Canis lupus familiaris: one gene and its partner. The protein of the gene in region 1 interacts with the protein of each later gene in a biochemical or structural test. Links are inferred from orthologs where the notes say so. Each region holds a gene or a part of one and is shown on either strand. Other genes may lie near its edges.

Region 1 (10,915 bases):
CTTATTTTATAGGTATACATGATATCCTGAAGTGATTGATCACACAGGAGTAGTAACTTTTCTCCCCCAAAACACTGTGGTCTTTCAGAGTTTACCAGCAACTGGGGGCTAACATGACTAAGAAGTAAACACTCTTTTAAAACTCACTGCAAGTCTGTTGTTAACTAACAGGCAAAAAAAAAAGTCAATGATATTTTAAAATATTATCAGCACTTATACTATTAAATAATCTTCCTCAGTTTTTACTCTTTCTAAAATCTTCCATAACTTAGAAAGTCTTCCCTGATCTATTATATTACTTTTTCCTTTTAAATTTTAATATTCTAAGTCACACAGGCCTCTCTCTAAAACTTCCAACAAATATGATTCCAAAATCTCTTTGTCTAATTTACTTCTGCATATATATGATGACACACAAATCTAGTTAAATATATTTTTGAAGAGGTAGGAAATTAACAAATTTTTATATTTAACATTATACACAGATTTTTTTTTACACAGATGTTAAGAGTTCTCAATTTTCTAAACTTTAAGAAATTTTTCCGAAAGACGACATTACATTTCCTAGCCTAGAACATCCAGTTCATCACTGAGAAAAAGCAGTATAAGATAAAGGGCAAACAGAAGAATAGAAAGGGTAGAATAAGAATCAAACCAAAGTCTAGCAGGAAAAAAAAATTCATAGCAAATCTTCCTACACAGATATAACAGGTACAAGCTAAACTGTAGTTTCCTTTTATCACCATGCAACTAACTGTCTGGGCTTGTAGCAGGCACCTTGAAAAGGTATCTTCAATCAGGACAAGTCAAAAGTTGAGGTTAAAAAAAAAAAAACAACTAACATATGATCTCATTTATATCCATTCACGCCAAGAATCTCCTAATCCATATAATTTGTTACCTATATTATGGTTGCTCTCTATTATATTCAAATTTATAAGGGGGAAATATTTTTTGGAGATATATTATCTATGTTAAACTTAGGTGCCACAGAAATTTCAAAGACGTATGAAGCATGTTTCTGAGCTTATAGCTTGACAGGGGAATAAACTATGGACACAAAAGCACAAAAGGAAAGCAGTAAAAATAAGAACTCTATAGAAGACTAAATAAAGCATAATCTGAGTTCATTTCTTGAGCCAGTTTTACAGAAAAGATAAGATTTCAATAAGCAGGGGAAAAGGAAAGACGGGAATGCCATACAAAGGAAAACCATGAACAAACGTGAGAGGGTGAAAAGATGTTTGAAGAACAGTAAAGATACCATAAAACAGGGAAATTCTGTGGAAATAAAGAAGCCAAGATGTGAAGAGCTTGGGGTTTTACTTTGAAGACAATATCCAGCTGCTGAAGACTTCTGAGCAATGACAGACTTGATAGGAAAGACATGGTATGCAGGCAGATTAGACATAGTACTACAGTAGTCCCATGTTCCTGAGCCCAGAACACTTAAGTTTGTAAGTCAATGTCAGCTTGCAGTTACCAAACTTCATGTATATATTTATTTATATATACTTATGTGTTTAAATATATATTTATATTATACATTATATTTATATTATATATGTACATACATGTATACATAACATAGAACTTCTACAGTGATTCTAGAGACTTGGACTTACACAATTCTTTCATTTTTCCTTCCTATTTTCACCTTAGGTAACAACTTCTGGCTTGGAATTTTTATTTCACCTTTCCCTGCCCAATCTTTGCATTAGTAAGACTCATCCTCATTCTTTGTGTATTAGCAAGATCAACAACATTATATATTATTGCTTAATCAGAAGAGCATTTAAAGCAATTTTTTAAATCCCATTTTGTTAAAGCAATTGTTTTCTATCACACACAATAAACTTCCCTCAAATTTCATATTTTATTTTCCAAGAGAAAGAGCACTTTTTCTTTTCTTGCAGACTACACCTAGGAAACCGAAACAAAATGAAAGGTTATTTATTATCCAGTGAATCTGTAATAGTTACTTCATAGAGTTTTTAACAGATTGGCTGCCATAAGTATCATGAAAACAGAAACTAACTGCTTTCTTTGCTTTGTGTGTGTAAACTAGGCCACATGTGAATGCCCCTCTTCTAGAAAAAAGACCAAACCAGGTAAGTTTTCAACATTTCATAGATTAAGGTCGTCTTATTCTGTTTGATTTCCCAAAAGAAGAGCTCTCATTATAAAGTATTAAGTTTCATTTAATACAAAATAGTCATCGGAAAGGTAACTTAGATTGCTGAAAGTCCTATTACATATGCCTTACAGAATATTAATGTGTGATCCCCAGTAGATCAAACTTATGAAAAGGTACAGAACAATAGATGGTAACTAAAAAAAAAAAAAAAAAAAGAGAAGAAAGAAGAGAAGAATTCATTTTGTTTCAAGAATTGCACAGGTTTAGGGACCCAGGATTAAGGAGAGGATGGTGTCCCAGTTTGCAAGAGAGCCTTGTCTCTGCTTCCATGACTCTCCATTTGAGTGCAAAAATGTTGCCACTTATCAGTGACCACTGGAACCTCTCCAACAGGCAGTCCAGCTTCCTACCCAGAGGAGCACTAAGCCAGCTGATTGGCTCAGGGCAATCAGACAACAGCCCTCAGCCCAGCAGCAGTCAAGGAACAAAGATTGGCGACCCGATACTCAGGAAGGAAAGGATGCAAACGAGGCGAGGGGTGGGGGAAAAGCACAGAATCAACCAATAGAGATGTCCTGAAAGACTCACCCACTCAAATAAAGAAATGCTTATACCTGGAGATATTTGGCCAGGGATGGATTTTTCTTTTTTTCTTTTTTAAAGTTAAACAAGGATAAAGGTTTAAAACCGTCACTGGAGGAGCCTAATTCGTATGAAAACACTTGGTAGCTGCTTCACAACTACCTTGAGTGGGCAAGGGACCTTTTTATATATATAACGTTTGGAAAATGGAGTTTATTCAATAAATCCATCAAAAGATATCCTGTTTCCTACAAACTGTACCTAATTTTAGGGTTCCTGCTTCACAGTGATTCCAGTTCTGCGTGAGATTTCAAACTGAAGAGGTACCGGGAGGGGTGCAGAGCCCATGAAATTTTTACAGCATGGAAATAAAAAGTATTTTTAAACCTTCTAAGGGGTGAAGAATTAGACAAGAAGCAATACGTGGAAACTGTCAAGTGCTTCTCTACACACACACACCCACCCACCCACCAGATACCATCGCAGCCGGGTAGGGGAGTCTCCCTCTCCTTGCCTGACAGCTTCACTTTCTTTGAGGTCTCGAGCTGGTGATCACACTGGCCCGTCATGGTATTTTCAGTTAACAAAGCAGTTACTCAACAGGGGAAAAAGCCACAAAGGAGCAGAGCAGCTGCTGCTGCACCCGTGATGCAAGTGCAGGATGAGCCCCGGGCCGCCACCGCCGCCTCGGCTCCTCCGTGACGTCCGGGAGGGGTATCCCCGGCTCTCAGGAAGCGGTGGCCGCGGGCGGCTCCGCCCCCACGCGACTCGGGCTGGCCGGGCCGCCGCGCGCCAGGGCTGCCCCGCGAGCTGGCAGGCGGCGGCGGCGGCGGCGGCGGCGGCGGCGGCGGCGGCGGCGGCGGCGGCGGCGGCGGCGGCGGCCGCGGCCGGCCGGCACCTGCGCGCGCACCCCGCGGGCCGCGCACCCCGCCGCCGCGCCCGCGCCTCGCCCTCTGCGCCCGGCCCGGCCCGGCCCGGCCCGCGCCCCCTCGCTCCCGAGGCTCTCACCCACTCACCCCGACCCCCTGCGCGGAGCCTGGCCCAGCGCCGCCGGTCACCAGACGGGGTCGAGCCGGGTCCAAGATGGCGACTCCGCCCCCGCCCCCGCCCCCTCCGCACCCCCGGCGGGGTCAGGGCGCCCCCTCACGCGGCGCGCTCGCGCCCGGGGCCCGGCTAAAAATACCCGGGCTCCACTATATTTGGTTCGGCCGGATCCCGGCGCGGCCGCGCGCACTCGGCCCCGCCCCCGCGCCGCGCCCCGCCCCCCGCGCCGCGCCCCGCCCCCTGCGCTCCGCCCCGCCCCGCGCAGCACTGAATGGAGAAAGGGGCGGGGGTGACCGAGGGGAACCTACTCCGCTATCTGCGGCGCGCGCCGGCGGCGAGGCCCGGCCAACCGCCCAATTTAGTAACATCGCCTGCGTCAATCACGCGCCTCCTGTGCGTCAGCGCCGCGCGGCTCCAGGTCCTGCTCCCCTCCACCCCCCCACCCCCCCCCCCCCCCCCCCCGCCACCACCAGCCTTTGAATGGATACAATGTAGCAGCGCCCTCCTTCCTTCCGAGACTGGATTGGAACCCGCGGCGGTGCACGGGCTCGGCTCCCCTCCGCGGGGTCAGCTCTCTCAGCATCCTCCCTCCCACGGTCTTCTCTCCACACCACCCTGCCTGAAGTGGAAGTGGGAGTCGAAGAAATATATCCGTGTCGTATATAGAAATAAAATTAGTTTTGTTTTCAAGTTTCTGGTGCTAATAACTCGAACCTTCTTCCATTCTGAACCGCATGCTGTCGACAATAGGATCCTCTCCCACCCACCCCCCACTGCAAAACACACACACACACACACACACATGCAAACACTGGGACGTGTCAAAGAAATAGAATATCACGTGTGATTTAAGCGGACCGCATGGAGACCATGCCTGTCTGCGACGTTGCACTCAACTATTTTATCCCCCTTAAGAATTCATATCTGAGAGAGGTTGCTTTTCACTCAGCTGCACTTTGGAACTAAGAGACAGACTTTAACTTTGATAAATTTTTGTTTCTGTTTGCAGCAAGAAATTCACACTTAAATTCATCATTTCCAGGAAGAAATTGCTCTCCTTCACACAGTCGCCCAAGCTTTCAGCACACCATTTCATGACAAATGTGTCCCAGTAGAAGAGAGCAAATCCCATGGCGAGGAACTGACTAATAAATCCTGTTGATTGATTTCGAAATGTTTAATTTGGGAGATTGGAGGGGGGGGCAACCATGAAAAAGTGAAAGTGCGAGCTGAGATTTCCATTTCTGCGGGGTGGGGGTGGGGGGAATGATTTGCAACAGTCAGACCCGGTCAGCTGTTCAACACGTGTGTGTTTGTTTTACACACATTAAGTAGTTTCTGCGGCAGCGCGCACGTGGATGATGGATGTGCACTCAGTTGGCTTATTGTGGGTCCAGTTAGGAAATCCACACCTTAGCATAAAGAAATAAAACCTTATCTTCCCGGAGGCATCTGCATCCCTGTGCGAAACACGCACTCAGCAAATGATGCGAGGAGGAGCTGGATTAGCCTAGACGCTGCGGGCCAGCGAGACTTAAACAGCCTTGGAACTGTTGCTTGAGGAAAGCGCAGCTGCATGCACCTCGGAGAGTCTTCGGGCCGGTGCCTGACTCCTGCACCGGCTGCCAGGTCACTCGGAGAAGCTGGCTGGCGGAGCCTTCCCTTTCGGAAGAGCTGTCCTCTCCCTTACCCCCTCTCCCTGGCTCCGTGCCTCGGGGCAGCCTCGGAGGCGCGCCAGCCGCACTCCTCCAACACTACTCCACCCGAGCCTGACAGCTGGGCGGTCCCGCCTGACCCGCCGGCGGGCCGCTGCACCCTCCGGCAGACTCGCGCCCTGGCGAGCAGCGCCGCTGCAGAGGGGTTGGCGGCTCGGCTCCCAAAGGCCCCCCTGCCGGGCTTGGCCGCGCGGCGCAGTTTCCATTGTGCAGCCCGGAGAATGGTCCGGGAACGCGCGCGCGCACACACATGCACACACACACGCACACACACACACACACACACCCTCCCTCGCACACGCGGAACCGGCTGGGCCAGGGGAGGGAGGGGGAGGGTGACGTAGCGTCCCATGGCGTCACATTGACGTCTCGCATTCCAGGCACTCTATGGAGAGGCCGCTAGGGCTCCTGTGGCATAAATGACGTGCCGAGAGAGCGAGCGAACGCGCAGCCGGGAGAGCGGAGTCTCCTGCCTCCCGCCCCCCACCCCTCCAGCTCCTGCTCCTCCTCCGCTCCCCACACACAGACAGGCTCACACCCGCTCCCTCACTCGCACACACAGACACGCGCGCACACAAGCTCCGCACACACACTCCACTCTCTCCCGCGCGCTCACACCCCTCTCGCCCTGCGCCCTTGCCGGTGCAGAGCCGCGCGGCAGCCGGACGCCCCTCCCGGACTCACTTTGCAACGCTGACAGCGCCGGCGGCGGCCTCGGAGGTGGGAACTGCGGCGGCATCCTGCCCCCGGGCCGTGGCCGCAGCCAGGACGCCCGCGGAACCCCTCGCCGGCACTCTCCCATGAGTCGGGATCGCAGCATCCCCTGCCAGACGCTCACCGCCTCTGGGAGCCGCTGGGCTGGTTCACGGCAGCCCTTCCGGGACAGCAGCTGTGACTCCCCCCCCAGTGCAGATTTCGGGGCAGCTCTCTAGAAACTCGCTCTAAAGACGGAACCGCCACAGCACTCAAGTACGTATGAGATTCGCCCAGTGAATTGGGGGACTTGCTAAAAAGTTGGCGCGCTGGGAAGCGTCGCTCCTGAATTGACAACTTTGAGTGTGGGTTTTTTTTTTTTTTCCCCCTCGCCTCCTCGCTCCGGCTTCGCTCGCCGAGCGGCCCGGGGGGTTCTGATCTGAAACTTTTCCCCTGTAGCGGGCCCGCGGGGACCTCTGGAGCTCGTGGGATTCCTCCCCCAACCCGAAGAGGCGAAAAGCCTCTAACAAAGAGGAGGACCGGGATTTGTTCAGTAGCAGCTCCAGCGATGTAATTCAGGGTATTTCGGCTCTAGTTGTCATGGTAATGATGCTCTCGGCGGCGGCGGCGGCGGCGGCGGCGGCGGCAGGGAGTTGCAGCTCCGCTGATGAACGGCAGTAATTTTCCTGCCTTTTAACTAGGATTGAAAACAGGGGCTCCGGTGGGTCCAAGTTAATATACCTAATGGTGACTCCCAGCCGGTTGACTCGGGGGAAGCTGGAGAGGGAAGGGGCCTGGGCAGCGGTGGTTGGAGTTTGCAAAGGCGCTCGGATGATCTCTGGAAAGAGGGCGTAATTGTAGGAATGTGGCTTTATTGTATTGAAATGAGCCTGGGGCTCCACTAGGCACGTCTGCCTGGCGTAGCCTACTTGCCCGTGTGCACTTTTCCCTTCAGAGGTAATAGGCTGTAATTGCTGACTCCCGAGCCCGGCCACGCGTGGGGATCGTGTTCCTTTCCTTCGGGCCTTGGCTTGGTGTGGGAATGTTTTACTCTTAAGTGACGGAACTCGCGCTTTTGGAGAAGTTGCTCCGAGTGTTTTACTCTTAATAAGAATAAATGAAAGTTCTCAGTGCTGCGGGGAGAGCGGTTATGAGAGCGCAGCCTGCGGACAATGACTTCCAAAGGCACCTCCCGAGCCGGTTGGAAGCTTGGGTCAGGACTAAGAGAGAAAGCGTTTGTCCCTTGATTCTAAAGGACGTTCCTGGAGATTGCCTTTTATTTAATGCCTTCGGATTCGTGAGAGGGAAGAGCGGCAAGGAGTTTGGTAATCAGAAATGTCGGGCTGTCATCCCAGAGCCTTAGGGTGCCAGGAGACAGAGGTAAAGGGCAAATCCGTCCTGGATCTTCTATTCCCACGATGGAGAAATATTTTACAGAACTGAGTTGGGGAAGCAAAAAGCTGCCCAACGCGGCTACCGGGCACAATGAATGAAGTCAGAGTTCCCTTGACTTATCTTACCTGTGCGAGGTGCTCCTAGCGTGAATATCAAAGACTCCTCCTCGGGCCAAGCCACCTCCACGCCGGCTCCCTCCCCAGCCCCCACCCCCCGCACCCACCCACTCCCTTCCCCGCGACCGCGCGCGCTCGCAGAAATTCTCCCCCGCGGTTTGTCTCCTCTCCCTCGGTCTTTCTGAGAATCTCTGTCTTTCCCTTTCTGTCGGTCTCTCCTTCACTCCTACGGCCCCCGCCCAACCTCCGCCCCCGCTCCCCAGGGTTGGAAACTCCGCGGAGGAGCCCCGGTCACAATGGTGCGTTTCACGGTTTCCTCCACACACTTCACCACGGGGAGGGGAACATGGGGGTGTTCCTTTCGTCTGCCCACGAGAAAGAAAGGAGCTTTGACAGAGGTGGTTATTTCTACCTAATTTACAACCCCAAGGCTCGGTGCTCCGGCCCCGGCGGCCGCGAGCGGGAGCGGCGGAACGTGTTTCCAGGCGCGGAGGCTTTGCCTAGGTAACCGGCCATGGGAGTGGGCGGGGGGGGGGGGGGCGTGGGGCTCTTGGCTCGGCTGTAGGAAACGTGGTGTGGCTCTTTCCCGCGAACACCCGGCGCTCGAGGGGAGCCCTTTCCTAGAGGAGACTCAACCCTCACCCGGCGGAGTCAGAGGCCGAACCTCGGAGAAAGGACCCAGGGGAGGGCAGGAGTGAGGGCACCTACTGCAGGAGGTGGTGGCAGGGTGCTGGAGACCTGTATTGAAAATTCGGGGCGGACGGGAAGCTCCTGCCACAGCCGTGGGAAGATCCGCGCGTGCTTGCGCTACAGCGAGCGCAAGATTTCCGTAGGATCATCTGGGGCAGGGCAGGGGCTGGGGGTGACAAGGGAATCCCCCGTTTCCTGGCTTTCGAGGGCTTACCGGACCTGGGGGTTCCGATGTCCCCTCCCTCTCTTCCTTCGGGCAAGCCCCTGGCGCAGGGGCGGAGGGGGACGAAACTTACACGCCCCTCTCGGCCCGCGCACCCCCGCGATTTTGGGGGGTTGTGTTTTGTTTTTTGGGTTGGTTTTGTGTTTTGTTTTGTTTTTGTTTTTTTTTTTCGGTTTCATGTTCCCAAGCCTCAAGATATGAACGGGTCCAGGCAAAGAGGGCGCTGTAGGCCAGAGTTTGGGGCAGCGGATCCTTTCCCCCGAGGCCCGCCGAGCTGCGCTTCCAGCTACAAAGTTTCGCTGAGCCTGGGCGCGGAGACGCTCGCCCCGGAGCCGCGCTCGGCGCCCTCCGGAATGTGCCCCCTCGGGGCCGCGGGATGGCCCCGAGCCTCGAAGTCGCCCACCCTCAGGGATACCTCCTGCTGGGTGCAAGGGGCCTCCCTCCGCCCACCCTACCAGCCTGGAACTCCAACTGCCTTGTCCCCTTGTCTCCAGCGCCGGCCTATTTCTACTGTGCCCTTTTGTTTGCTTGACCCCTGGCCCCCGAAACTCGCGGCTAATAGAAGCGAAGCTCCATTAGCATTTAGAATGAAAAGCGCAGACTTTCTTAATTCCTCGGGGCATTCACACATTCGTTCCGGACCTGGTGCATTTCCTATGCAACGTGTAAATTCTGTATTTGGGGAGGAGGGGGGACGGGCAGTGGAGTTGGAAAATGCGCCCTCACTGACCACACGAATTCCGTCGAAACTCTTCCTCAGGTGCCCCTTCTGTGGTTTTCCTGACTTAGCGAGCTCAGAGCCAATTGTGGGGACAGAGAGATCAATTGCTGGGCGATGACAGGATGCACGTATTTTTAGCCTAGGTTTGGGTGCCACAAAACGGTGGTGAGCGCAGTGGGTGCCTGACAACCTTTCTGTGGCTCCCCCCAAGGCGGCTGGTCGCTTCTGCCCAGGGACTCCGTTCACCTTAAGAACTGCTTCCTTACCCTTTTAATTCTTTGTAATCAACGTAGCATTCATAGAGACCCCCTACCAAACCACCCTCTCCTGATACGCCCAGCCCAGGCCACGACGACCACCAGCCTGGTCTCACTTTGAGCTCTGTCCTCTCTCCCGGTGCCCGCAGAGCCTACTGCGGAAGAGCGCAGTCCGGCAAGCCCTAGCCCTGAGCCTGGACCCTCCGCGGAGCCAGGCAGCACTGCCACCGCTTCCCCTCGCCGGACGTCTCCGCCTCCTACCCTCTCAGCCTCCGCTGGAGAGACCCACAGCCCCACCATTCAGCGCGCAAGATATCCTCCAGGTAGGTCTAAAGGCGCGACCCCTTATTCCTTCCAGGTTGGGAGAGGTGGGGGTTGGGGGGAGCCACGCACCCAGCAGGCAGGCTGTTCAACTTGCGCAGGGCCAGGACAGTGACTGCTGGCCACGTATTTCACAGCACAGGTGGCTTCTTTGCACGAAGCTCCTCTGGATACCACACCCTGTTGCTACCTAGTGGAGCAGCCAGATTAAATTACGCGTTGCATTTCTCAAAAATAGGTTTCCTAAGAAAAAAAATGTAATACGCCAAGAGATTAGGATCTTTCTATACATTTTAATGTCTTCATTTTTGCTCTCCTTTTATATCCAGTTCATAAATGTAAAAGTTATGGGATCGCTTTGAGCAATACAGGGCATTTATGTTTGTATAGAACCTAAATCATTTGATGCAGAAGTTTGGATTGTTGAAGCTCAGAGGAAAAGAGAAAAAGCATTTAAGCTGAAAACCAAGGAGTAAATTCGAGTTGGGCAAAAAGAGAGGATTGCAGGTTTGGCTTGTAACACCTCTTTATGCATTTCTTAAACAGATACCAAGTGCCTGGACTGTGTAGTCGCCAAAGATATGCATCTAAATAGAACTTAGTACCAAGCAAACTCATATTCTAGCTGGAAACCTAAGAAAGACACAAGGAAGAGTAATACATAGGGATTGGCAAGGAAAGATGACAGAAGACTGATGGAGAAATCCTAGAGGGGCTGAAGGAAGGAGAATAGATGGAACATTGGGCTGGGCCGTGTTCTTTCTTTTAAATATTTAGCCTTTCATTTCACCCCAACAACAGGACAGCAGGATAACTAATCCTTGACCTTCAAACTAGTGTTTTTAAGGCCCTTCTTGGAAAGTGAAGGCTTGAACTGGCCTCTCCTTATCACTGCTTCTTCCAACAGGCCCTCATCACCTTTTTTCAAGTCAAGATTTCATCCCATACACGCATGACTCAATCAGATTTGGAAATGTGGGTAAGAGAAAGATGTCAAAGGAAATGTGAAGTACACACTTTT
Region 2 (10,815 bases), on another chromosome or scaffold:
GCGGGTCCCCGGAGGCTAAGGCGGGGGGCGGGGGCGCAGGGAGGGAGCAGTTGTTGTTGTTGTTGTTGTTTTTCATTCAAAGGAAAGTAATCGGGGTCCTTGAAGGGCTTCGCGGCCTCCCCGCCTACGTGCTGCACTCCCCTGCGCCCTCCTCGGCCGCCCGCGCCAAGCGCCTCGGATTGTAGCTTGCGGGGAGGCCCAAACCGCGGGCTGCCGGGCCAGCCCCCGCCCCCCGAAGTCCTGGGGGCCCCCCAGGACAAACTGGCCTCACGGAGCCGAGCAAGGCCGAGTGGGTGCAGCTGCTCCAACCGGGAGGCTTGCGGACCTCTTGGCTTTCCGGGTAACGGCAAGCAAGGACTGAGTCTCTCAGGCACCTCTCCGGGTGGAGTTGAGACTGCTGGGGTTGGGGCTGATTTTGTAAATCAACGCCCAGTAGGTCCTCGTAGGAGAAACACACTCTCCAGCTCAAGCGCCCTTTCTCCCCGCACCACCTGTACGCAGTCTTGCCAGTTAGTTGCCTGGCCCAGGATTAAAGCAGACGCGGTGGTGGCAATTTTGTGACCTCGGACTGTACGGGCTCCAAACCCCAGATCCGGAAGTCGGAGCGGCCAGGGGGGCCCCGCGGGCTGACCCGTTCCTCCCAAACTCCTCCACTCTCTGAGAGATCCAGGGTGCTGGCGCCCCCCCGCGCGCCACCCCTCCAGACGTCCCCCAGCTCAGCTCAGCCCTCTTCCCTCGCGCTACCCAGTGCTTCGGGCCCCCAGAGCGGCGGGCAAGGCGCCTGGGCCCCGGAGCCCGAGGTCCTTCTGCTCCGACGCCCCTCCCCAGCGCCCAGCGCCTGGGAATTGGGGAGAGGAAGCTCTGGGGCTCCGGAGCCCCCTCCCCCACTCGGCCCGCGCTCCTTGACCGGGACCCACGGAGCCTGCGCTCCCGGCTCCACCCGGAGCCAGTCCGGCCATCCGCACCCACCGAAGGCCGGCCGCCCCGCCTCCCCCTCCCGGCTCTCGGGACGCTCCACTTACGCGCTCCCGGCGGCGGGCGTCGTGCTTCGGGCCCGGAGCGGAGCGGAGAGGCGCCGGCGGCCGCGGGGCAGCGCGGCGGGCTCCGTGGGCGGCGCGGGGCTCGGTTGCGCGGGGCGTCTCTGACAGCCCGGGGCTGGCCGCCCGCCCCGCCGCTCCCGGCCCCGTCCCAGCGCACAACGCTGCGCGCCCCGCAGCCGCCCTCGGCCCGGCTTTGCACGCCCGAGTCGCCGGCGGGGTGCGGCGGGGTGCGGCGCGTCGGCAGGCGCCCCGGCCGGGGCTGGGGCCGGGGGTGTCGCCGAGCGGAGGCTCAGCCCCACCGGCCTCACTTCTCCCCGCGCGGCGACGGTTTTCAATTTCAGCACTTTCGGCGGAGCCCGCGGCACCTGCCCAGCCTCCCTCCGGGGTTGGCCCGGCGGCGAGCGGCGGGGAGAGGCCGGGTCGCCCCCACCCGGAGGCGGGGGTTGTGGGGACGGGGAGGGGACTGGCTGGGTTCACCCGCCCGCCCGGCGCCTGGGTCCTCGGCTCCAGGGGATGCAGTTTCGGGGGTCACGAGCTGCTTTCAAAAAGTTGAACACAATATTCGGAAACCCACCCGTAGGAATTCTACCCCCATACGCGGCACAATACCCACTCCCTCCCCTTTTTCATTCCTTCCTCCCCCGCTTCCTCCTCCTGCCCCTTCCCCCTCCCACCCCTCAGCCTATAATCCTTCCCCTGCGAGAGAAAGGGATCGGGAAGAAAAGATGAAGCGTCTGTTTTTGTGTCCCAACCTTAGGGCTCTTTCTGGGCCGGCTGTGCACGACCGCCCAGAGCTTCGAAGCTGAACGGAAAAGGACTCACGGTTGGGAGCAAGATACTTGGAGGGGAGAGATCACCCGAAGTGGGCCTTGGCGGGTCTTCCCTTTGAGCGAATATTTCCCTGCCTCCGTCACTGGGTTTAGGACCGGGGACCCTCGGCTTCCAGGGGTGACGCTGGGATGGGGGGCCCATGAGGCCCCCTGGCCCAGCCCAGAGCCTCTCTGCCAGAGTGGAGCATCCATCACAGCTTGCACTTCTCTGCCCAGGAGGCCTGGCTCTGCGGGAGTCAAGGCCTAAGCAGGGCCCGAGCTCGGGGTTTAGGGGTGGGACACTCACAGCCCCAGTCACGTTAGGTTTCCCATTTAAATTCTCTCAATCTCTTTCTCTCCTCCCTCATTGAGATCTCCAAAGTGGTGTGGACTCGGTGCCTCGCCCCCAGATCTGCATCGGAATGTAGAAAAGATCTTTTTTTTTTTTTTTTAAAAAGAGTTTTGAATTCCTCAATGATTTTTCTTCTGGAAAGGCAGCTTAGGATAATTATTTCAGCTTTATTGAGGGCAGATTAGTTGAAGTCTGGACGCTGCGTTTCAATACGCGTTGTACACGGGCCGACAATGTGGGCATTGTTGGCTACTGTGTGTGAACTCATTCAAAATATACACTTTTTAACACCAAACCGAGTCCTGTCTAAATATACACAGTGCTCAGGGGAAAGACGTCTCTGACCCCGACAAATCTGCGTAAATCACACTTCCATAGTTACAGAAGCCTCACAAAGGGAGGCCCCGCTAAAGATGCTGATTACATCTTCTTAAAAGCAACATACCTTAGAATAAATACCCATACCGGCCCTGGGTGGGGGGAGAGTAAGGGGGGGGGAGGGTTGCAGTGGCCAGAGGGAGGGAGGGAGGACTCTCTCTCTATTCTACGGGCCTTTGGCGGTCTGTTTTAGGCTTGTCACATTACTTTGCCTAGATAAATTAGTTTTATTATTTTTTTCTTTACAATATGAGCAAACACGTAATGTTCAGGCCTATCTGCTTCTTTGGAGAAGCCTCCATAAGTTTGAGTGTCCTTCTGGGGCTGGTAGGCAGATCCAGAGCTCTTTGGAGGAGTAGAAGTAGCGAACATGTCAGGGGGCTCCAAAGGGTTCCAGACTTGTCAGCTCCCAGGGGACACAGCTGAAGCCTAGGGGGGAAATAAAGAGGTGGCTTGCTTTTCAAGGTGAAAACAAGAAGTGTACTGTTATTTTAAAATACAGGGCAATAGTAGAAATCAAGACTTCTTGACCGGGGCAGAGTAAAGAGAAGCGGGTAGAAGCCAGTGCAGATGAAAGTGGGATAAATGTGGACAACGATTGAGGCCGAGAGAGACCAGAGCGGCTTCTGACACCCTGGGTCCTGGCCTCTCGCTCTCAGGCGTTAGCTACCCCTCGAAATTCGGGATCCCGGGAGCAGCAGACAGGGTCAGTGTGTGGTGGGCCCCATGATCTCATCTCTTCTTTCTTCCTCGCCACTATTAGTGCTCACATAGGCAGAAAGAGGCGGCCCGACGTGCACACCATGTGCAAACGGTGCCTGCTTGGCCGGCCCTCGGCCCTCGGCGTCTTCTTGAGGGCTGGCCTTCGGCCTTCATGCGGCGTGGGGAGCCTCTTACATCCCAACAAAATCCCCCCTTTAATTGCTCATCCCATTCAACAACTCTAGGTCCATGGCCTTTTGAATTTCTGGATCAACTTCTTTGGGGAAGAGGGAAAAAGGGAGCTCAGAGACATGGGGAGGGGAGAGAGAGAGAGAGCGAGAGCGAGAGAACGAGCGAGGGAGAGAGAGAGAGATAGATAAAGAGGGGGAAGTGGCGAGATTAAGAGTTGCAAAGATTAAAAAAAAAATCTCTTTCTCCCCCTTCTCCCTCTTTCCCTCCTCTCCCCCTCCCCCCTACTCTGGCTAAGTGGTAAAACCGTCCTTACGTTCTCGGTATTGATTGGCAGGGCTGACAGTGATTGGCAGCGGTTGCCGTGGCAACGCCACAACGACACGCCGCAGACCAATAGAAAAGCGAAACAAAATGTTTCAATGCTGCACTCACTGTGGATTTAGGGGAGATATTATGAGGCTGTTGTCATTAGGGCGATTGCTGTGGAATCGCTGAATCTTGACTCGGCGGTGGTTGGCTCTCGCTCTCCTCTTTCTCTCCCTCTCCCTCTCCCTCTCCCTCTCTCTGTCTCGGGTTCTCTCTCTGCGCGCGCGCACCGGGCCGCTCTCCTTCCTCCCTCTCTATGTGGCTGCGCGGGTGTGTGTGTGTGTGGATGTGTGTGGGGTGTGGGTGTCCCTTACGCCCTTCCTCCTCCCCCTCCTCCTCCTCCCGCTCCCCCCTCCTTTCCTTCTCCTCCTCCCCCCTCTCCTCTCCCTCCTCCTGGTCCTCATCGCCCCTCTCCTCCTCTTCCTCCCCTCTCTCTTCCTCTCCCTGAATTTTCTCCTCTCCTCTCAGGTCAGTCCATGGTATTCCGCTCCCCCCTAGACCTCTATTCCTCCCACTTCTTGTTGCCAAACTTCGCCGATCCTCATCACCGCTCCCTACTTCTGGCGAGTAGCGGCGGCGGGAACGGTGCGGGCGGCGGCGGCGGCGGCGGCGCGGGCGGCGGCGGCGGCGGCGGGAACTGTGCGGGAGGCGGCGGTGCTGGCGGAGCAGGCGGCGGCGGCGGCGGCGGCGGCGGCTCCAGGGCCCCCCCGGAAGAGTTGTCCATGTTCCAGCTGCCCACCCTCAACTTCTCGCCGGAGCAGGTGGCCAGCGTCTGCGAGACGCTGGAGGAGACGGGCGACATCGAGCGGCTGGGCCGCTTCCTCTGGTCGCTGCCCGTGGCCCCCGGGGCGTGCGAGGCCATCAACAAGCACGAGTCGATCCTGCGCGCGCGCGCCGTGGTCGCCTTCCACACGGGCAACTTCCGCGACCTCTACCACATTCTGGAGAACCACAAGTTCACCAAGGAGTCCCACGGCAAGCTGCAGGCCATGTGGCTCGAGGCGCACTACCAGGAGGCCGAGAAGCTGCGCGGCCGCCCGCTCGGCCCGGTGGACAAGTACCGCGTGCGCAAGAAGTTCCCGCTGCCGCGCACCATCTGGGACGGCGAGCAGAAGACGCATTGCTTCAAGGAGCGGACTCGGAGCCTGCTGCGGGAGTGGTACCTGCAGGACCCCTACCCCAACCCCAGCAAGAAACGCGAACTGGCGCAGGCCACCGGCCTCACCCCCACACAAGTAGGCAACTGGTTTAAGAACCGGAGGCAGCGCGACCGCGCCGCGGCGGCCAAGAACAGGTCAGTGGCGGGCCCGCGGCCTGGCTACCGTCTCCGGGGGGCCGCGGAGCGGGGGGAGCGGGGCTGAAACCGGGGCGGAGGGGGCGGAGGGGGCGGGGGGCCGGGGGCCGCCGGGCGCGCGAGCAGCCGCGACCCCCTGGCCAGTTGGAGAAAGTTTCCGCTGGCCCAGACGCGCAGAAGAGGGCCGGGCGGCGGGCTTATGGACTTCTTTGTCGGAGAGGGGCTTTCGGCAGGGTGGAGAGTGTGGGGGTGTGAGGTCCCGAGCGCCCGTCCACAGGCCCCCCCGGTCCCAGCCCCGGGAGCCTTGGCCCCGCGCTGCACCCGTGCCACCTCCGCAGCCCGTGCCCGGCTCCGCACTCCCCTGCAGCCTGCAGACAGGGAAGGGAGGAAAGCCGTCCTTGCCAACCGGTTCTTATTATTATGCATTGCAAAAACCCGGAGAGGAATCCACGAAGTCACGGAAAGGAAACTGAACAGTGGGGTCTCTGCCACAAAGGGAAAAAAAGAAAGGTCGCTGGCCACTGTGGAGCAGGCCTCTTTCCCTCAGTTTTGCCAATTGCCTGAGTGGGAGCAGGAAAACCAGGCGGGGAAGTAGAGAGGCCTTGTGTGTGTGTGTGTGTGTGTGTGTGTGTGTGTACACGAGCACACAGGTGCTAGCCCTCCTGCCCCAGTCAAGGAGCATCCCCTTGGTCCACTAACTTGGGAAGCCAGGAGGAGCAGGAGCAAACCCACTGCCAGCAAGTTGGCCACAAAATCATAAAGTTGTCTGGGCTTCACCAGTCAGCGCACTTGGGCCTGGGGGAAGGTAAGGAGAAAAAGAACTAAGAGGGAAAGAGGAGGAGGAAGGGGCGAAGAATGGGAGGGAAGGGGGAAGGAAGTGGGGTAGAAGCCCTGGTGAGAAGCCCGCGCCCCTACCTAGCCTGCGCAGGCGCTGGGCCTGGTGTACGGCAGGGAGCAGGGCCCCAGCTGCTGACAGCTGCCAGGGGCTGGAGGCCAGGGCTGAGTTCCTGGAGTGAGTGAGTGTGTTTGCGTTCAGGTGGCCCAGGCCTGAGCCCTAGGCCCTCTCACCCGTGCCCGCCGAGCCAGTTTTTCGTCTGAGAGGGGGAGTGCCCAGGACCAGGGCAAGGCCTCCTTGTGGGAACTCAGAGACTAGGCTCCGGCAGCAGCTGCCTGGTGCGGGGAAAGGGGAAGACGGAGACTGCTCTGCACACCCCCCTCCTGCCGCCTTCTCTCTCCTTTCTCTCTTGCACCTCTTCCCCACTTTTTCCGCTTCCGGCTTCTCCGTTCTCTCTAGCCCTGCTCCTGCGCTCAGCACAGGGAGCCAGAGAGCAAAGCCAGCGGGTCCTACTGGGGAGAGGCTGCGGGTGAGCAACCCACAGCTCTGGGTGTGTTGGGGGAGCTGGGGCGGGAGCCACTGTGGCCACCCGCCGCTGGGCCACCCGGTTCAGTCTGAAGAGTCCCCGGGGCGGGAGAGCAAGAAGCACCCTGTCCCTCTCGGACTTGGGCATCTTGGGGCTCCGAGTCCTGCGCTGTGCTCCCGGGGCCTCCCCAGGAGGCCGGCCTCGGGTCCTACCTCTCCTCGGAGGCCGGCTGCGAACTGGGAAGCCTTGGGGAGCCCCGAAGAGCCCCGGGAAGGAGAGAAGAGAGCCCAGACCCGCGCTGGGGGGGGGGCTTTGCGGCGTTCAACGAGTGGTGGGGTGCTTGGAGGCAGGGGAAGGGGGCGAGAAATGAGCGCAGGGAGCCGAGTCGGGGTGGTGGCGGAGGGCGCGCGGCTGGGGAGGCTGGGAGGCTGGGGAGCCCGGCGGCCGCGGGCGCGGGGAGGCGGCTTGACGAGCCCGGTGGCGGAGCCGCCGTGTCAGGGCTGGTGCGGCTCTCTGTCTCCCGCAGGCTCCAACACCAGGCCATCGGACCGAGCGGCATGCGTTCGCTGGCCGAGCCCGGCTGCCCCACGCACGGCTCGGCAGAGTCGCCGTCCACGGCGGCCAGCCCCACCACCAGCGTGTCCAGCCTGACGGAGCGCGCGGACACCGGCACCTCCATCCTCTCGGTAACCTCCAGCGACTCGGAATGTGATGTATGATAGCCAAGGCCGCCCTCCTCCCCCTCCCCCTCCTTCCCCTCCTCCTCCTCCTCCTCCTCCTCCTCCTCCTCCTCCTCCTCGCCCTCCTCCTCTTCCTCTTCTTCCTCCTCCATACCCAGAACAAACCGAAATCAGGATACACAATCATACACACACACACACACACACAAGTACACACACACACACACTTCCACCCCAGCCAAAAATATATAAAAAACCAAGAAAAATAACAAATTAAACGCAAACTATCAACAACCCCAACCACCATCTACCACCACGGCCACCCCAAAGGACCGCGACGCCAACAGACAGTTACAAACGCTGATGTTGCGGGCAGAAAACATAAAAGAGGTGACAATTGTATACTTTCTAGGACAAGCACGGCTTCTCCTTTCGGTTCCCACGGACCCGGCACCCCACCTGCATGACGATTTATTTGTATCTGGGAAAATATTCTCTCTAGTTTAAAACGATTTAAAAAAGAGTCGACTATACAAAAACCGACCACCACCACGACGACAAGACGACAAAAGCAAAACAGACAAAAAGAGAAAAAAAAAATAAAACCGCCATCTCCGTTCAGAATTTGTTAAAAAAAAAAAAAAAAAGAACTCCTCGAGAGGGAAATAGCAAATGTTTCTCGCCTTTTGTTGCTCGCTCTCTCTTTTTTCCTCTCTCGCTCTCTTTCTTTCTCTGTTTTTAAGTCCAAGTATTGGTCAAACAAGATGCAATCTTCTGTTTTTTGTTCAGCAGACAATCATTTTCTTCGTAAGCACCTTTTTCTCTCCACTCTGTCACTGCCTGTGTGGGTACTGGTTATAAATGTGGAAAAAGAATAGTTATGACTGTAACAGATTTTTATTTTTATTTCAAAATTTTATATGAATTATGTATATCTTAATGATCGGTCATTTTCCCAGTTTGTAATATATGTGTAGAAATTGCCTGTATATGATATTGCTTTTTCTCCTCTTCCTTTTTCATTCTCTTCCCCCCCACCCCCTGCCTCCCTCCCCGCTCACCTGTCTCTTTCCTTTTTGGGGTTCCCCTCCCACTCGGTGTTCCTGGCGTCGACTTGGCAGTCAAGGCGTGGCGTGGCGGGCTGGGTTAGGACGAGGGACCCCGTCGCTAGCGGAAGCGGAGAGTGAGTCCGTAGTATTCTTATGCAAAAGCTATTTCAAGTATTTCTTAGCTGCTTTGGAGATATCTCTCACTCCCCGTAGGGCGCTTTTACTGTTATCTTAACTGCGTGTTTATCTATATGTAAAAACTTTCTAAAGCAAATACAGTATTCTCCATTTTCTTATCACTCCCCGAGACTGGTATTTTTGTTCGAGCAGCGCCCGGCCTTCACTTCCACTCCGACTCCCTGCGCCACTCGAGCTGGGGCAGCATTTTAAGGCTGGGTAGGAGCTTTTCCTTGGAGATGGTGGGGGTGTGGGTGGCGGGGGAGAGATGGGAACAGGCCCTCCGGAGGAGAACCGGAGCCAAATCTGGAACGAAAGGCTCCGAGGGCGCAGAGGGGAGGGGGGCTCCCGCCGGTTTCTTCAGAAGGAGATGCCAGGCCGAGATCCGCATGAATTCTAGCCTGCTGCGGCCCTGTGGGTCTTTGGGGGGGTGTGTTTGGCATCTTCTGGTTGTTGTTGTTGGATTTTGTGTGTGTGTGTTTTTAAGGGTAAACACACAAGGTCATCAAACCAACAATCCACCTATCCAGAGCAGAGTTGACAGGTTTTGTCTTCTTTTTGCCCAAGTGGAGTTGGGGGCAACCATAGTGGCCAGGGTAGGGAGGGTAGAGAGAGCGAAGAAAGAGGTAGTGCAAGGAGTTTAGGGCCTACAGCTGGGGCGGGCTTTCTCCTCACCACTCCTGCTTTGGGTCTGTGTGACTGTATTACTTGCCTTACGGATCTTGATCCTTGAGGATCAAAAATCCTTGAAATTTCTTCCCGTCTTTTGGGGATCAACTGGAGTCTCTTCCAGCTCCTAAGACATTTTCAGGGCTGATTTACACTTTAAAATGAAAACCAAAAAAAAAAAAAAAAAAAAAAAACACCACAGCCTTTGGCTAACCAGGTTCCCACTAGCCCCAGGCCTCCCTGCCCTGCCGGCGGGGCCCCCACATTTCCCCCTGATGGAGTGGCTGACCGCGCCCCTGCCGCTCTGGGCCAGGCCAGCCTGAGCCGGAGGAGCCAAAGAGGTAATTTCAGAAAACTTGCCTTCACTTGAAAAGTCCAATTTCCAAAGGGAGGAGGATTAGGGAGAAACGTGCATGGAATTTCGCGCTGGTTCCAAACTAATTTTGACTTCCGATTTCCTTTTGTCCCCATCTCCAGTCTCTCCGTGAGGTTTACACAGGGCCTGGCCAGGCAGAAATGCCGCCAGGCCCAGAGGTGCCCTGTGCATTCAAGTGGGGCCTGGTGTACCCAGGGTGAGCTTGCCTGGAGGGGAAGGTTTCTGTGTGCGTCCTTACTTAGATCCAGGGCATTCAGATGACCTGAGAGCTTCCAAGTTCTGAGGCCTGGCACACTGCGTCAGAATCTCTGCATGCATTCTCTGCCTTGGAAAACATTCCTGGTGATGCCACGTTTCAGGCAACATTGACCCAGGTGGCAGGAATTTGGGAAGGGGCTGCTGGCTTCTCCCCAGATCGAGCCAATGTTCTGGTGCATAGAATGCCTTGGATGCCAGGCTCTGTCCTCTTACCTGCACTTTAAAATGTATGGTTCATACTTGCCCCAGAACTTGGGCCTGCAATCCAAAGGGGCCCAAGGGGCTGGAGGGGCTGCCTCAGACAGTGTAAAGATTCTGGATGGACCCTACCCAACCGGCTACCTAGAATTGATGGGTGGAAGGACAGGGGTGGCACTGCTGGAGAGTGACTGTTGGGAGGTCTTTGATTGGTAAACTAGGGAGCAGATACCTTTCTGTCCTGGGACAGAGGACAAATTTGTGAAGTTGAAATGCCTCCTTGTCTCAACATACCAGAGAAAGAAAGCAAGTTTGTAGTATCCAGTACCCTTTCCTCTCGCTCCACTTCAGAAAACAGGCTATCAGACACCACAGCAACCTTCAGCGTTGGGGGGCCTAGGTTCAGTTGGGTGGCCACCAGCCTGCTACCTGTCTGTCTTGCTATCTATCATCCATCACTCTCCCTCATCCCCTATGTTTCTACTCAGGTCTGTGCAAATACCAATACTCTATACTCTGCACTTTCTGACCTTCCCTACAGATTCCCTGCAGGAGAAGTATGAGTGCTTGTGGTGAGTGGTGTAGATGTTTGCAATTCCAAATGCTGGGCTTCCACATGTGATCAAGGTCTACATATAAAGGTGTGTGTGTGTGTGTGTGCATGTGCGTGTGATGTTTGTTATACATGTGTGTATAGTGCATCGATGTGTGTCCAGTATGTGTTTTCTTTTATATTGCCTGTAAGGCAATTATTTGCATGTAGCTTGGGCAGTTTATATTTACCTAGTTCGTCAAGAGGCGGCTCTGGTACTATAGGGTGCTGTGTGTACAGGGCCTTTCTGTGCAGTGGACACATGTTTTGTGGATGTCCATTTGGGTGGATTCCCTTGTTCTACTCAACCCAACGATATGAC

What was found.
Region 2: the proteins of NR4A3 (region 1) and SIX3 form a complex in vitro, tested with the Homo sapiens proteins (3 studies listed by BioGRID). The link is inferred for Canis lupus familiaris from reciprocal best matches to the Homo sapiens genes NR4A3 and SIX3.

The regions. Positions count from the first base shown.
Region 1 is NC_049232.1:57,138,361-57,149,275, forward strand, and holds the start of NR4A3 (nuclear receptor subfamily 4 group A member 3), read left to right. Parts: upstream 1-5,988; 5' UTR 5,989-6,447; intron 6,448-8,003; exon of another isoform or gene 8,004-8,186; intron 8,187-8,243; exon of another isoform or gene 8,244-8,511; intron 8,512-9,722; 5' UTR 9,723-9,896; intron 9,897-10,801; 5' UTR 10,802-10,873; intron 10,874-10,915. UniProt on the Homo sapiens protein: Transcriptional activator that binds to regulatory elements in promoter regions in a cell- and response element (target)-specific manner.
Region 2 is NC_049231.1:48,393,594-48,404,408, forward strand, and holds part of SIX3 (homeobox protein SIX3), read left to right. Parts: exon of another isoform or gene 1-983; intron 984-1,022; exon of another isoform or gene 1,023-1,084; intron 1,085-4,307; coding exon 4,308-5,133; intron 5,134-7,020; coding exon 7,021-7,180; coding exon of another isoform or gene 7,181-7,213; exon of another isoform or gene 7,214-7,232; intron 7,233-10,815. UniProt on the Homo sapiens protein: Transcriptional regulator which can act as both a transcriptional repressor and activator by binding a ATTA homeodomain core recognition sequence on these target genes.